2 linked regions of the Anolis sagrei genome follow. The protein of the gene in region 1 purifies or fractionates together with the protein of each later gene. This does not show direct contact. Links are inferred from orthologs where the notes say so. Each region holds a gene or a part of one and is shown in the gene's direction. Other genes may lie near its edges.

Region 1 (8,261 bases):
ATGTTGAAGGTAAGGCACCGTTTTAAAGTCTGCTGAAGTTTTTACAGTGAAGTGACCTAAAATTAGCATGTTGAATTAAAGTAATTTTGAGAAATAACTGTGTTAACAGATACATTTTAAAAGCTCCGTAATAGTTAAAAAAATATTTTAAGCTACTGTTCCAGATTTTGGTCTTTGGTAATATCTCATTCCCACATTATCCGAATGCTCAATCACCATCTCCCAAACCAGTTACTCTACTCCGAACTCAAGAGCGGGAAACGTAATGTTGGTGGACAGGAAAAGAGATTTAAAGATGAGCTTAAAGCCAACCTTAAAAACTGTGACATCGACACCAAGAACTGGGAAGCCCTGGCCCTTGAGCGCTCTAACTGGAGGTCAGCTGTGACTTACAGTGCTGCAGAATTTGAAGAGGCACGAATGGAGGGTGAAAGGGAGAAACATGCCAAGAGGAAGGCACGTCAAGCCAACCCTGACCAGGACCGACTTCTGTCTGGAAACCGATGTCCTCACTGCAGGAGAAGATGCAGATCAAGAATAGGGCTCCACAGCCACCTACCGACCCAGCGCCAAGACACCACATCTGGAAGACAATCATCCTCGAGCTACAAGGGATTGCCTAAGTATAAGTAATTGAAAGAGTGGTGCCTAAGATGAATGAAGATGGAGAACTACACTCATATGAAAGAAATAAGAGAAGCAGGGTTTATTATGAAGCAAACTATATTCCAAGTATTTTTGCGAGGTAGTGGTGTTGGTTAGAGCTTCATCCTGAGTGATTCTGGTCCATGAAAATTGATATCATAGAATCATAGAGTTGGAAGAGAACTCATGGGCCATCCAGTCCACCCCCCTGCCGAGAAGTATGAAAATCGCATTCAGAGCACCTCCGACAGATGGCCATCCAGCCTCTGCTTATGTTGGTTGCAATTCTTTATATACTTTTCCAGGTACAAAAAACTGAACAGAAGCATTCAGTGTTAGCCACAGACTATAAATCACATCTCCATTGTATCAATAATTGAAGGCGAGAATTATGTGGCCCTTCATATTGTTACTGAACTGTTGACGCCCAGCATAATCAGCTACACTGGTTCATGCAGATGGGAGATGCAATTCAATAACATCTGGAGGCCCTCACAATTGCCGTCTGGAAGTAATCTGATCTTACAAACCGAATTCATAAAAACCTTGGACCTAACAAACCTTCAGAGTTTATTTATAGAAGAATCCTAAGTATTTCTATTGAAAGATGGGGCTTATTTGGGCTTAAGCCTCGTTCCAGAGTAAATGGATAAAGGAATGCAGTTTAAAATAATCAAGCCAGCAGTACTATTATAGTTCCTCTTGTTTTAAAACTTCTGTCAATCTAATACACGGAGAACAGCCAGTACCAATATGAACGGAGGTATTTGATTTATACTGTCAACCCACAAATTGTTCATTATTTTAAGAACGCTCATGGAAACCAGTTACATACAAGGCCCAGAAAGCGTAGTTATGAACGACACAAAAATATTTTATACTGTCCTTGAGAGTGGGCTGCATTTTTTATATAAACATCACCTACGTGATACTATTTGCGTCTTTTAAAACTCTGTGTCTATTTTTATTGGGAAGGCTCTGGTGGAGTCTCTGGTCCTAAGCTGACCATTTTTGGATGACTCTAGAGCAAAGCTTCAAACTCATTTTCATGGAGGGCCACATCAGCTTCATGGTTGTCTTCAAAGAACTGTTGAATCCACAGATGGAAGACGTGGATACTGAGGGACAACTAGATTTTTAAAAATATAGTTTATTAAAAAAAAATTATCTCACCTTTCTCTACCCTGATGGGGATTTAAGGCAGCTTTACGTATGGCAACGATTCAATGCCTTTGGACAACAACAGTTAGAATACACTTAAATTAAAACTAAAATTAAAATTAAATGTACATTAAAACATATAAAACATAATGGCTTATACTCTTTAGTTTTCACCCAGTTCGGGTCCCCAGATGTTACTGAATTACAACTCCCATCACTTTTGATTATCTGCCACATGGATAATGTTTGGAAAAGGCATAACCTTTTGGAAAAGCATCTATAGCCTTTGGGGAAAACCAGAATTTTCAAAGTCTTTTGGAAAGGATTTTATTTATTGTATCAGGAGCTAACCAAGGGTACAGTTGCAATGTATTAAAACACACACAGTTTTAAAACCTGGCATTATAGAAAATGTTATTTGACCAGTAGCTGGCCACTTGGAAAGGATGACCTCAGGAGATTAATTAGCATTCACATTATTTGGAAAAATCATAAACCTTTTGTAAAGTATGATCTTCCTGAGAAGAGTTAAAAATTCATTTGAGTGAATCTCTTCTTTAGTGGTAAATATCCACTAGCATTCATGTAAGGCAAAATAGGTCTCACAGTTGTTGGACTAATATGCCTGATTATCTCTTTGAACTGTTAGTAACAAAGATTATGCCAATACACAAAATAAATAGCAAATTTATTTATTTATTATTTCGTTCATACACTTGTACCCCACCTTTCTCACCCCGAGAGGGGGACTCACAGCAAGCACCATTCGGTACTATCACAATCATAAAAACATTTAACAAATTCATTAAAACAACATTAAATAAACAGTTGTTAAAACACACCAGTCAAAACCAAAGTCCAGGTCAGTTCATTGTCACGCCAAATTGCTTATGTCTTCTTCTCACTTCTCTCACATCTTCAGAAGTGTTATTTCAGTTGCCCAAAAGACATCTACTCTCCCATAAAATATATTAGCTTTAAATCATGACCTCAAGAGACCAAAATAAGGTAGTCTTTGTTCAAAGTAACATAGTTGATTTAGTAAAACAGTCACAAAATATCAAAACATACAGTACAAGACATACCATATGTCAAAATTTCACAGGTTAAAATACATATAAAATATAATTATATATCTCTATAATTAAAAGTTATCTGTTATCAGCATCGCCACAAGGTAAACTTGATGGTTGTCTACTTTCCCTCTTCTCCACAGGCTAATTCACACAGATGAGTTTTTAATTGCTTCTTAAAAGAGAGGAGTGATGGGGCCGTTCTGATTTCTTTAGGGAGGGAGTTCTAGAGGGAACGGGCAACCACGGAGAAGGCCCCCTCTGTTGTTCCTACCAGCCATGCTTGAGAATTGGGTGGGACTGAGAGCAGGCCTCCCTCCGTTGATCACAGCGTCCTGACAGGTTTATACTCGGGGGTGCGATTTGTCAAATAGTCTGGGCCTGAACCATTTAGGGCTTTATAGGCAATGACAGCACTTTGTATTTAGCTCAAAAGTGGAGCTGCCGTAGCATGGGAGTTATCCGCTCCCGGTTAGTAGTCTGGTAGCTGATCTCTGCACTAGTTGAAGTTTCCAAACTGTCTTCAAAGACAGTCCATGTGGAGAGCATTGCAGTAGTTCAAACGGGATGTAACTAAAGCGTGGTAAATCATGGCCAGATCTAGCATCTCATGGTACGGATGCAGATGGCGCACAACTTTTAATTGTGCGAAGGTGCTCCTGGCCACTGCTGACACTTGGGTTTCCAGAGTGAACGATGAGTCCAGGATCACCCCCAGACTGCGAACCTGCATCTTCAGGGGGAGTGTGAAGCCCATCGAACACAGGCTGCAATCCTATACTCTGGTCCGCCTTCTGACTGACTGGGAGTACCTCTGTCTTGCTTGGATTCAACTTCAATTTGTTGAAGTTGAATCCATTACTGATGTCAGGCACTGGTTCAGGACCTGGATGGCATCCTTGGCTTTAGTTGGGTGTCATCGGCATAAAGGTTATCTGGATTTCGATTTCTAGATATACGGTGCTCGGGATATATAAATGGGGATGCAAAAGCCTTAGGATGCATCTTGAATGATCACTGTTTGGCCCCACTTGAACCGCCATGGTTCAATTAATGCTCTGGAATCACTGAATCATCGAATTGGAAGAGACCACATGGGCCATCTAGTCCAACCCCCTGCCATGCAGGAAAAACACAAAGTGCCCCTGACAGTTGGCCATCCAACCTCTGTTTAAAAGTTTCCAAGGAAGGAGCTTTCACCACACTCTGAGGCAGAGAGTTCCACTGTTGAACAGCTTGTACAGTCAGGAAGGGTCCTTCTAGACAGGCCCTATATCCCAGGATCTGAACTCAGGTTTTCTGCTTTAAACTGAATTATCTGAGTCTGATAATCTGGGATAAACAGAAAACCTGGGATCGGATCTTGGGATATAGGGCCTGCCTGGAAGGGCCTGAATGTTCTTCCTAATGTTCTGCTGGAATGTCCTTTCCTGTAATTTGAGTTGCAATCATGAAGTTGTAATTTTGGTGAGACGCCAGTACTCTTTGGCAGAGAAGGCGAAAGATCTTGTGAAAGGTCAGCTCCCAAGACACCAAGGAGCACAATTTGAATTTTTAAAAAATCTGTTCTTGCTTTGAAAGTGTTATTTCCTGTGTAATTGTGTGAGGCTGACTTTGGAAGTAGTTGTTCTACTCCAGAAACTCCAGGTGTTCATTGAAAAAGTATAGCAAAATGTGCTGCGTGATGTCCCATGGAAACAAAGTTTTTGTAGTTGGATAAACTCCCCCCCCCCCAATGCTTTTATGAGAGAGGAAATGAGGAAATGACATTGACAACCCAGGAACAAAAGTCGTATTACATGTTTCCATGAGTGATGGCAGTCAAAGTGGTGTTAAACTGCATACATTCTACAGCAGGCCTGGGCAAACTTGGGCCCTCCAGATGTTTTGGAATACAGCGCCCACCATTCCTAACAGCCTGTTAGGAATGGTGGGAGCTGAAGTCCAAACATCTGGAGGGCCCAAGTTTGTGTAGTGGAGACACAGCTGGGATGAGAATCAGAGTATGTCCTGCAGGGGGCGCGCCAGAGCGCCTGGCTTTGCGCCGGGAGGAAATGATGCGCCTGCTGCTGCTGCCGCCGCCTGGTTAATTACAGCCCCAGACGCTCATTGGCGGAGCCGGGAGCGGCCATGTCTGCCTCCCTCTTTCTCTCCAATGCAGCTGGGGAGCCCCTCCTCCTCCTCCGCCTCCTCCTCCCTTTCCGAGGGAGAAGCCAGACCAGCCTCTGACCCCCTCCCTGCCTCCCTCCCTCTTCTCGCCTTCCTTCTCGCAGGAACTTTGCGCTCCGGCCAACTTCGCCTTGCAGCGGCTCCTTCCGTCTCCTTCCTTCCTTTCTTTCCAGCCGCAGAGCCGCCGCCAAGCCCATGGAGAGGCATTTTCTCCTCCTCCTCCTCCTCCTCTAGCTGCGCCTGGGGATCCCGCCCCTGCTCTGCCTTTGTCTGCGCTGCTGCTGCTGCTATGAGGAGGTAAGCTGGAGCGCCCCCCCTCCTCCCCAAATCTGGAGCCCAAAGGCAAAGCCTGCTCTCCTTCCCAGCCCTTCCTTCTCAGCCCTCTTCTTCCCAGCTTTTTCCTTCTCTTCGCTTCTTCCTTCTCTCCTTCCCAGCCCTTCCTTCCCGTCTCCTTCCCAGCATTTCCCCTTCCTTCCCAACCCTCCCCTTTCCAGTTTTTTCCATCTCTGGGCTCCTTCCTTCTCTCCTTCCCAAACCTTCTTTATCCTCTCTCCCCCAACACTTTTTCCTTTCCTTCCCAGACCTCTCTTTCCTAGCTTTTTCCTTCTCTCCTTCCTTTTCCTTCCCAGCTCTCTTCTTCCCAGCGTTTTCCTTCTCTGGGCTCGTTCTCTCCTTCCCAGACCTTCCTTCTTTACTCCTTCCTTTTCCTTCCCCGCTTTTTCCTTCTCTGGTCTCCTTCCTTCTCTCCTGGTCTCCTTCCCAGCACTTCCCCCTTTCCTTCCCAACCCTCTCCTTTCCAGCTTTTTCCATCTCTGAACTCCTGCCTTCTCCTTCCCAAACCTTCCTTCTCTCCCTCCCAACATTTTCCCCTTTCCTTCCCACCCCTCTCTTTCCCAGCTTTTTCCTTCTCTCGGCTCTTTCCTTCCATCTTTCCTTCCCTTTCCAGCTCTTTCCTTCTCTAGTCTCCTTCCTTCTCTCCTTCCCAGCCCTTCCTTCTTTTCTCCTTCCCAGTTCTCTTCTTCCCAACTTTTTCCTTCTCTGGGATCCTTCCTTCTCAACTTCCCAGCCCTTCCTTCTTCTTCCCTTCCCAGCCCTCTTCTTCCCAACCTTTTCCTTCTCTGGACTCTATTTCTCTTCTTCCCAACCCTTACTTCTTTCCCAGCCTTTTCCTTCTTTGGGCTCCTTTCTTCTCTCCTTCCCAAACCTTCCTTCTTTCTGTTCTTACCAGCCTGTCTTTCTCTCTCCTTCCCAGCCTTCTTTTCTCTCCTTTCTCTACTTCTCTTCTTTCAAGCCCTCCCTTCTCTCATTCTTTTCCAGACCTTTCTTCTCTTCTCTTCAGCCTTTTCTCCTCTCCTTTCCAGATCTTCCTTCCTTCTTGCCTTTCTTTTCCTTGTGAGGGAAGAAGGGGAAGCTATGCCAATCCCTCTTTATATGATCCATTGTTATATATATTTAAAAACAACTCAGTGCCTGCCTTTTCTGCAGTGATTGCTGTTTTGTCCCCAGCTCTGTCTATGGAGGCGTTTTTTGTTTTTGTGGGCGCGACTCTTTGGGAATCCTTCATTAAAAAATAAAATCTCTCTTTGGGCACATCTCTACTGTAGAATGAATGCAGACCGAAACCGCTTTAACTACAGTAGCTGAATGCTAGGGAATTCTGGGAGTTATTGTTTTCTCCTCTTTAGCAGAGAAGGCTGGAAACCTTGCAAAACTGTACCTTCTATGTTTTCCATAGCACTGAGTTAGTATATAGTTTGGTGTGGCGCCAGCACTCTTGGACAGAGAAGGCTTCCATGGCATAAAGTGGCATCAATCTGCTCTAACTCTATAGTGTAGATCAGGCATAGGCAAACTTTGGCCCTCCAGGAGTTCTAAAATTCAACTCCTAACAGCCGGCTGAGATTTCTGGGAGTTGAAGTCTAAAACAGTGGGTTGCGGTGAGTTTTCTGGGCTGTATAGCCCCCAGTGGTGCAGTGGGTGAAAGCGCTGAGCTGCTGAGCTTGTTGACCGAAATGTCACAGGTTCGAATCCGGGGAGCAGCGTGAGCTTCCACTGTCAGCCCCAGCTTCTGCCAACCTAGCAGTTTGAAAACGTGCAAATGACAGTAGATCATTAGGTACCGCTCTGGCGGGAAGGTAACAGCACTCCATGCAGTCATGCCAGCCACATGACCTTGGAGGTTTCTACGGACAATGCCGGCTCTTTGGCTTAGAAAGATGAGCACCACACCCCAGATTCGGACATGACTGGGCTTCATGTCAGGGGAAAACCTTTACCTATAGCCATGTTCCAGAAGCATTCTCTCCTGACGTTTTACCCTCATCTTATAATGGGAACATCCTCAGAAGCTGAGGGGTTTGTTGGAAACTCGGCAAGGTGGGAGAAAGAATTCTTGTCTGTTTGAGGCAAGTGTGAATGTTGCAATTGGCCACCTTGATTAGCATTGAAAGGCATTGTAGCTTCAACACCTAGCTGGTTGCTGCCCCCGAGGGTCCTTTATTAGGAGGTGTTAGCTGACCCTGAGTGATTATTGTCCGGAATTCCTTTGTTGTTTGAATCTTCCTCTTTATTTACTGTCCTGATTTTAGAGTTTTTAAAATACTGGTAGCTAGATTTTGTTCATTTTCATGGTTTCCTCCTTTTTGTTGAAATTGTCCACATACTTGTGGATTTCAGTGGCTTCCTTGTGTCATCTGACATGGTGGTTGTGAGAGTGGTCCGGCATTTATGTGTTCTCAAATAATATGCTGTGTCCAAGTTGGTTCATCAGGTGCTCTGCTATGGCTGACTTCCCTGGTTGAATGAGTCTGCAGTGCCTTTCATGTTCCTTGATTTGTGCTTGGGCAATTTTGTGTTTGGTGGTCCCTATGTAGACTTGTCCACAGCTGCATGGTATATGGTAGATTCCTGCAGAGGTGGGAGGATCCCTCTTGTCTAAAGTTTGGCCCTCCATTCCAAAACAACTGGAGGGCCAAAGTTTGCCCATGTCTGGTGTAGATACTCTCTTGTTTCCACCAGGAAGATCTATTCCAACTTTGGAAACTTGGCTGATTGAGGTGGAGCAAAGGCATCCTTTAATGATCTTGCCAAGCAAGGAGGGAGGGAAGAGAGGAAGGAAGGAGGAGGGAGGGAAGTAAATCTGTAAACTTTCCTCCTGACTTCCCTGCTGCTTCTGCTCCTCCTCCTCCTTTGGCTGGAGTCTTCACTAGCATC
Region 2 (7,537 bases), on another chromosome or scaffold:
ATTAATATCATGATCTGATCACCATTCTCAATATATCCCATATGCATGGGGGTAATGATGCAAAAGGTTTGCTAGGGTAAACCCTCTTTCACTTAGACTCAGCCCCCCCGAATCAAAATCCTGGCTACGGGCCTGGTTGAATGGGGTTCAGAATGCTCTTTGATTATATGTGAACTATAAATCCCAGCAACTGCAACTCCCAAATGTCACGTTTCTTTTCCCCAAACTCCACCAGTGTTCACATTTGGGCATGTGGAGTATTCGTGCCAAGTTTGGTCTAAATCCATCATTGTTTGGGTCCACAGTGCTCTTTGAATGTAGGTGAAATACAACTCCAGAACTCAAGGTCAATGCTCACCAAACCCATCCAGTATTTTCTGTTGGTCATGGGAGTTCTGTGTGCCACATTTGGTTCAATTCCATCATTGGTGGAGTTCAGAATGCTCTTTGATTGTAGGTTAACTATAAATCCCAGTATCTACAACTCCCAAATGACAAAATCAATTTTTGAGTGATGGTCACTCCTTGGGTTAAGAGGTGCCTTGTAGCCAAATTTGGTGGCAATTCGTCCAGTTGAGTTATGATGTCACTCAAAATGAACAGAGCATTTTTTTATATATATAAAAGAAAGAAGATACAGTGTTCACTCACTTATCACGGGGGTTCCGTTCCAGGACCACCCGCGATAAGTGAGAATCTGCAAAGTAGGGACGCCATATTAATTTTAATATTTAAACATTATTTTATATATTCTTACGCGTGCTGCCTTACCTGACTCCCGGCCCATCCCAAGAGCGCCTGCCTGCCTCCCTGGCCTCCACAGACCCCGGCAGTCATTCCAGAGCCATGCAGGTGGCAGCAGGCCAGGAAGGCAGGCCTTTCCCACCACACCTCAGGCCACCACACTTCCAGGGTCTGTGGAGGCTAGGGAGGCAGGCCTTCCCCGCCGTCCCTCAGGCAAGCTGCACTTCTGGGGTCCCTGGCCTCCACTGGATGTAAATATTTTATATTGATATTTTCAAAAACCCGTGAAACAGAGAGTCTGCTAAAAACGAACCACGAAGTAGTGAGGGAACACTGTATAGTCAAGAGTTCAGAATTCATTTCCATCTTAATGCATTCCAGGAGAGGCCAATTGCATAGTTGGCTCTTTTCTTTTTGAAAAAAGGAAGATCAATTTATGTGTGATTCTCAGAGTTATAACCATATAAGCAAGTGAGATTAGTGGTGCAGTCATGCTGGCCACATGACCATGGAGGTATTTATTTATCGTGTCATCAGCAACCATTGTATTACAATTCCAACAGAGCAAAACAAACACAGAGATTAAAAAGAAAAAGAAAAAAAAAGAAAGAAAAAAAACCACACAGATTTTGTAAATTTGGTATTTGGTTAAATGTCCTTTGACCAGTATCTGGCCACTTGGAGTGCCTCTGGGGTTGCCGCAAGAAGGTCCTCCATCGTGCATGTGGCAGGGCTCAGGGTGCATTGCAGCAGGTGGTCAGTGGTTTGTTCTTCTCCGCACTCGCATGCCGAGGATTCCACCCTGTAGCCCCATTTCTTAAGATTGGCTCTGCATCTCGTGAGCGCAATCTGTTCAGCGCCTTCCAAGTCGCCCAGTCTTCTGAGTGCCCAGGGGGGAGTCTCTCATCTGGTATCACCCATGAATTGAGGTGCTGGGTTTGGGCCTGCCACTTTTGGACTCTCGCTTGCTGGGGTGTTCCAGCAAGTGTCTCTGTAGATCTAAGAAAACTATGTCTTGATTTAAGTCGTTGACGTGCTGGCTGATACCCAAACAGGGGATGAGCTGGAGATGTCTCTGCCTTGGTCCTTTCACTATTGGCTGCTACTTCCCGGCGGATGTCAGGTGGTGCAATACCGGCTAAGCAGTGTAATTTCTCCAGTGGTGTGGGTCGCAGACACCCCGTGATAATGCGGCATGTCTCATTAAGAGCCACATCCACTGTTTTAGTGTGATGAGATGTGTTCCACACTGGGCATGCATACTCAGCAGCAGAGTAGCATAGCGCAAGGGCAGATGTCTTCACTGTGTCTGGTTGTGATCCCCAGGTTGTGCCAGTCAGCTTTCGTATGATGTTGTTTCTAGTGCCCACTTTTTGTTTGATGTTCAGGCAGTGCTTCTTGTAGGTCAGAGCACGGTCCAAAGTGACTCCCAGGTATTTGGGTGTGCTGCAATGCTCCAGTGGGATTCCTTCCCAGGTAATCCTCAGAGCTCGGGATGCTTGTCTGTTCTTAAGGTGAAAGGCGCATGTCTGTGTTTTAGATGGATTAGGGATCAGATGGTTTTCCCTGTAATAGGCAGTAAGAGCACCTAGAGCTTCGGAGAGCTTCTGTTCTACCATCTCAAAGCTCCCTGCTTGAGCAGTAATGGCACGATCGTCAGCATAGATGAAACTCTCTGTCCCTTCTGGCAGTGGCTGGTCATTTGTGTAGATGTTGAACATGGATGGAGCAAGCACGCTCCCCTGAGGCAGGCCGTTCTTCTGTTTCCGCCATCTGCTTCTCTGGCCCTGGAACTCAACAAAAAAGCTCCTGTTTTGTAGCAGGTTTCCTATGAGGCGGGTGAGGTGGTAGTCCTTTGTGATATTATACATTTTTCTCAGGAGGAGGCGGTGGTTCACAGTATCATAGGCTGCTGACAAGTCTATGAAGACAGCTCCTGTGATCTGCTGCCTTTCAAAGCCATCTTCTATGTGCTGGGTCAGGTTCAGCACTTGCGATGTGCAGCTTTTGCCTTTTCTGAAGCCAGCTTGCTGTGGGATCAGACAGGGGTCTATATTTTCCATAATTCTATGCAAAATAAGTCTCTCCAGAACTTTGTAGAGGTGGCACAACAGGGAGATTGGTCTGTAGCTTTTTGGGTCATTACGGTCTTTGCCTGGCTTCAAGATGGCGATGACTCTTGCTTTCCTCCAGATTTTGGGGATCTGACAGGATGCAGTGCAGTTGTTCATCAGCTCCAGCAGCCAGCGCCTTGCTTTTGGACCAAAGTTCTTGATTTGTTCCATCCGTAGATCATCCAAGCCAGCTGCTTTGCCATTCTTACATTTGTTGAGAGCCATGTCCAATTCAGTAGATGTAAAGGGTTCATGGAGGTTGTTGTTCTCAATCTCCGGCTGTCTGGCTATTGGTTTCTTTCCTACTTTGGTGGCAAGGTTGGGTTTCCCATTCTTCAAGAGTTGGTGTGCTATCTGATCTGCCTTTATGTTGGCATGGGTATTAGTTTGTGAGGGATCGTTGCTCAGCCGTCTCAGCAGCCTCCACGCCTTCTGGCTGCTCCTGCCCATGTCGACCTCTGTGATCAACTTGATCCACTGTTCTTTCTTGGCTTCAGAGATGGAGGACACAATGCTCTGCGCTGCCTGAAGAGTCTGCTCACTGAATGGGTCTTCGTTGTGGAGCCTGTAATAATTTTCCAACAAGGCAGCTGTTTCAGAAGTAATGCCCTGGAGGTAGTGGGTTCTGCAGCCTCTCGGTATAGAGGCCCGTGAGCAGGTTTTCACTATTTCAATAAAATGTTCGTATTCCTCAGGGACTGGCGCGACCGATGTGATCATGTCGTCTAACATGTCTGAGAATTTAGTCCAATCTGCCTTTCTGAAGTTGTATCTTCGTTTAAATCGAACTTCCTGAGGCCTTATTGTTGGGAACAGTTGGCATATTATTGGTCGGTGCTGTGTGTTTGGGATTGGTGGTCCCACTGATTTGGTGCATTGCTGTACGATGCTGTCGCTCACAAATAAGAGGTCTGGGTTATAACCTCGGTGCCATCTCCCGCTGTTGTAGGATGGTGGGAGTTTGCTATCATGGATGAGTGATGGAGGACCATGGAGGTGTCTAAGGACAATGCCAGCTCTTTGGCTTAAATATGGAGATGATCACTCCCCCTCCCAAGAGTTGGACACGACTGTACTTAACGTCAAGGGAGATCTTTACGTTTTACCTAGAACAGGCATGGACAAACTTGGGCCCTCCAGGTGTTTTGGACTTCAACTCCCACAATTCCTAACAGCCTGATCTAGAATGAATGCATTTGGCACCGCTTTGACAGCCAGGGCTCAATGCTACGGGATTATGGGAGTTGTAGTTCTCTTGGGCAGAGAAGGTTCCAAGGCCTTGTGCAACAACAACTCCCATGATTTTCCCTAGCATTCAGCCAGGGCAGGGTGCAACTGCATTAATCCTTCTGCGAGGGAGATACAGGCTTCCCAGGCGGAGATCCCTTGGGTGGCCACGGTACTACCAGCCCCAGAATCCCGCAGAAAGGTCGCCATGGCAACCCCAGCAGGCACGATAGCGCTCCAAGAGTGGGAGGAGCCTCTCCGCCTGCCTTGTGACCGGAAGGCCCCGGGAGCCGCCCCCGGAGGAAGAAGCTCAGCCGCGGCCGAGGCAGGCAGGCAACGCCGGGGCCTTGCGTGAGGAAGGGGAAGAGAGCAGGCCCGGGCCCTGGCAGGCGGGGTAAGAAGGGGTGGCAGGGCGGGCAGGCTCCAGCCCGGCCTGCTCTTGAGGGGTTGGTCCGCACAGCCATGCCTCTGGGTCTCTCGCTTGAGAGGGAGGGAGGGCGGCTGTGTTGCAGGCTGAAAGTGCACCGGGTTGTCGTAGGTTTTTCGGGCTGTATGGGCATATTCTTGAAGCGTTCTCTCCTGCATCTGTGGCAAGCATACAGCCCGAAAAACCTACAACAACCCGCGATTCCGGCCATGAAAGCCTTCACAATGCATTGAAACTGCACCCACATTGCAGGATCAATGCAGTTTGGCACCTATTTAATTGCCATGGCTAAGCGCCCAATGGAACTGTGGGAGGGCCCTTCCACACAGCCAGATCATATCGGAATATCAATCCACAATATCTGCTTTGAACTGGGATTAGCCTCTTCCACACAGCTGAATAAAAACCCCACATTTTCTGCTTTGAACTGGAATATATGACAGTGTGGACTCAGATAACCCAGTTCAAAGCAGATATTGTGGGATTTTCTGCCTTGATATTCGGGGTTATATAGCCCTGAGTCCACACTGCCCTATAATCCAGTTCAGAGTGCAGTTTATACACCTGTATGGAAGGGGCTGGAGTTGTCCTTTGGTGAGGCGCTTGCCCTCTTTGACAGAGAGCGCTCAAAGACCTTGTACAACTGCAACACCCAAAGCATCCAGCCATGGCAATTAACAGTAGTGCCCTTCTGCATTAACTACACACATTTTGCTGCCACAAGTGTTATCCCTGTTTCTGGGCATATTTGACCTGCTGATTCCAAAAATGGCACCAGTCTTCCCCCATCAGCTTTAGTTTTTGGGATACATAATATATGCCATCTACGAGTTGTCATCTGCTCATTTTCTGCTTTGATAACCTGGATCTGACCGTGCAGAAGGGGCCATAGTCTATACTGCCAAAAAAATCCAGATAATGTGGATTTTATACAGCTGTGTAGAAGGAGCCTAAGGGCCCTTTCACATAGCCATATAATCCAGAATATCAAGGCAGAAAATCCAACAATATCTGCTTTGAAGCGGGTTGTCTGAGTCCACACTACCATATATTCCAGTTCAGAGCAGAAAATGTGGGGTTTTATTTAGCTGTGTGGAAGGGGCCTAAGAGGTAGACCTGATGCGGTCTATCCAATGCAATTGTCTGAATCAGTGCCCCAAATAACACCAAGAACAGGCATCGAAACCAAGGGCCCATCCACACAGCCCTATATTCCAGAATATCAAGGCAGAAAATCCCACATTATCTGAGTGTGGACTCAGATAACCCAATTCAAAGCAGATACTGTGGGATTTTCTGCCTTGATATTCTGGTATATAGGGCTGTGTGGAAGGACCCTAAAACACTAAGAATTATTTGTTGTTGTGCTGTGTAGGTCCCCCCCCCCCCCCCCCCAATGTCTTGTTTCTCAAGATGAAGAGCCTACAGTGTGAGGAATGGTTGCATCAATAGGAGTGCAGTGTCTACATTAGTAATCTCCAAACTCTAGCCCTCCAGGTGTTTTGGACTTCAGTGGTCTTCAACTCACAGAAGCCTCAAATGTCTTTGGTAATGAACAGGGATTCTTAGTCCCTATCTCCACTTCCAAATACAGATTATCTGTTTTTAACTGGATTATATGGCAGTGTAGACTCATATAACCCAGTCCAAAGCAGATAATCTGAATTATATGCTTTTATAATTGGATTATGTGGTGGTGTAGATCCAACCGGAGTGCCAAAGTTCAAAATACCTGGAACAGCAGAGCTTGGGAGGTAATACTTCAGTTGGCCCTCTGTATCCGCGGATTCTGCATCCACAAATCCTACTATCCATACCTTGGAAATATTTTTTAAATCCAAAAATCAAGCGATATTGAGTTGTACATGTTTGACAGGAGCTATGTTTTTTTTTTTTTTGGTTGTTTTATTTGTGAAATGTTATACACATTGCTGGCACTATATAGGCAAACAAGTGTAGTAATAAGTAACCAAGGAACTTATATTATCTCAATTCTAAATGCCTGTTGAGATGCCAGTGGAGAAGAACTTACTGTATTGATTGGAAAAGTTGGAATGGATTGAAAAATGCCACAATCTTTGTTTTGAAAGCCCAAGAGAAGTGGCATAGCCCATGTACATATTCTGTCTTCAACTTTGGGAACAGAGAAAGCAGTACTATCCTTCTGAAAATGTTGACAATAGACCAGTATGGAAAGTCATGACATTCACAACCGTCTCTGTTTCTGCTTCTAACAGATAGTAAATAGCAATGTCCTGAATCAATGATCTGTGAAACTGTGCTTTTGTCAAGCGAACTACACTTAACACTTTTGGAAAGCATGACATAATTTCTAACTTAAGGAAGGTGCTGTAGTTTTATTCTGTTTAACAGGAATTCTTATGGGAGGAACAAACATGTTGAATTTCACAATTGCAAATTAATCACTTTGTCGTTAGTGTGTGTATGTGGTAACATTTACTTGTTCTGCTTTTTAAAAATCTCTAGTCATTGTTACATTTTCAATAATCAACCCTCAGTATACAAATTAGTACCGTAATCATAAGAGTATTTCTGTATTTTGCACATGATCCAAGAAGTTAAACATTAATAGAAATCCTGGCAACAACCTGTAAAAAAGTAGATTCCGAGTGGGCTAACACTAAAATAATAGGCTAAAAGAAAGCCTTGTGAATGGAATAAGATTTTTCTTACCCATTTCTTGAGTCCCATTGATGCATCAACAATCAAGCTTTGGTTCTTTAAGTCCTGTTGAGATAATTGGGATTTTTTGACTGTCATACCAGTGAGACCAGTTCATGTAATTTCATTTACCCTCATCTGACAAAATGTGTTATCTCTAGTAATTTTCTAGGACTTCCATCCAATTCTGTGGTGTATTCATGCTGGTAGTTATCATTGGAAAAACGTTCATACTGGAAAAACTAGCAAATTCCTAGAAAGGATTCTTTTCTAAGAACCTTTTAGGTCCTCCAATGTGACTCCCTCAGAAAATTACTCATTTCAATAGGGTTCTTTATTTTTC

Evidence for each region.
Region 2: the proteins of ACVR1 (region 1) and TGFBRAP1 purify together in Homo sapiens (co-immunoprecipitation; 3 studies listed by BioGRID and IntAct, counting the BioPlex papers as one, with this or other methods). This does not show direct contact. The link is inferred for Anolis sagrei from reciprocal best matches to the Homo sapiens genes ACVR1 and TGFBRAP1.

Annotation. Positions count from the first base shown.
Region 1 is NC_090021.1:201,736,281-201,744,541, forward strand, and holds the start of ACVR1 (activin receptor type-1), read left to right. Parts: upstream 1-5,054; 5' UTR 5,055-5,337; coding exon 5,338-5,345; intron 5,346-8,261. UniProt on the Homo sapiens protein: Bone morphogenetic protein (BMP) type I receptor that is involved in a wide variety of biological processes, including bone, heart, cartilage, nervous, and reproductive system development and regulation.
Region 2 is NC_090023.1:105,840,301-105,847,837, reverse strand, and holds the start of TGFBRAP1 (transforming growth factor-beta receptor-associated protein 1), read left to right. Parts: upstream 1-4,353; 5' UTR 4,354-4,474; exon of another isoform or gene 4,475-4,479; intron 4,480-7,537. UniProt on the Homo sapiens protein: Plays a role in the TGF-beta/activin signaling pathway. It associates with inactive heteromeric TGF-beta and activin receptor complexes, mainly through the type II receptor, and is released upon activation of signaling.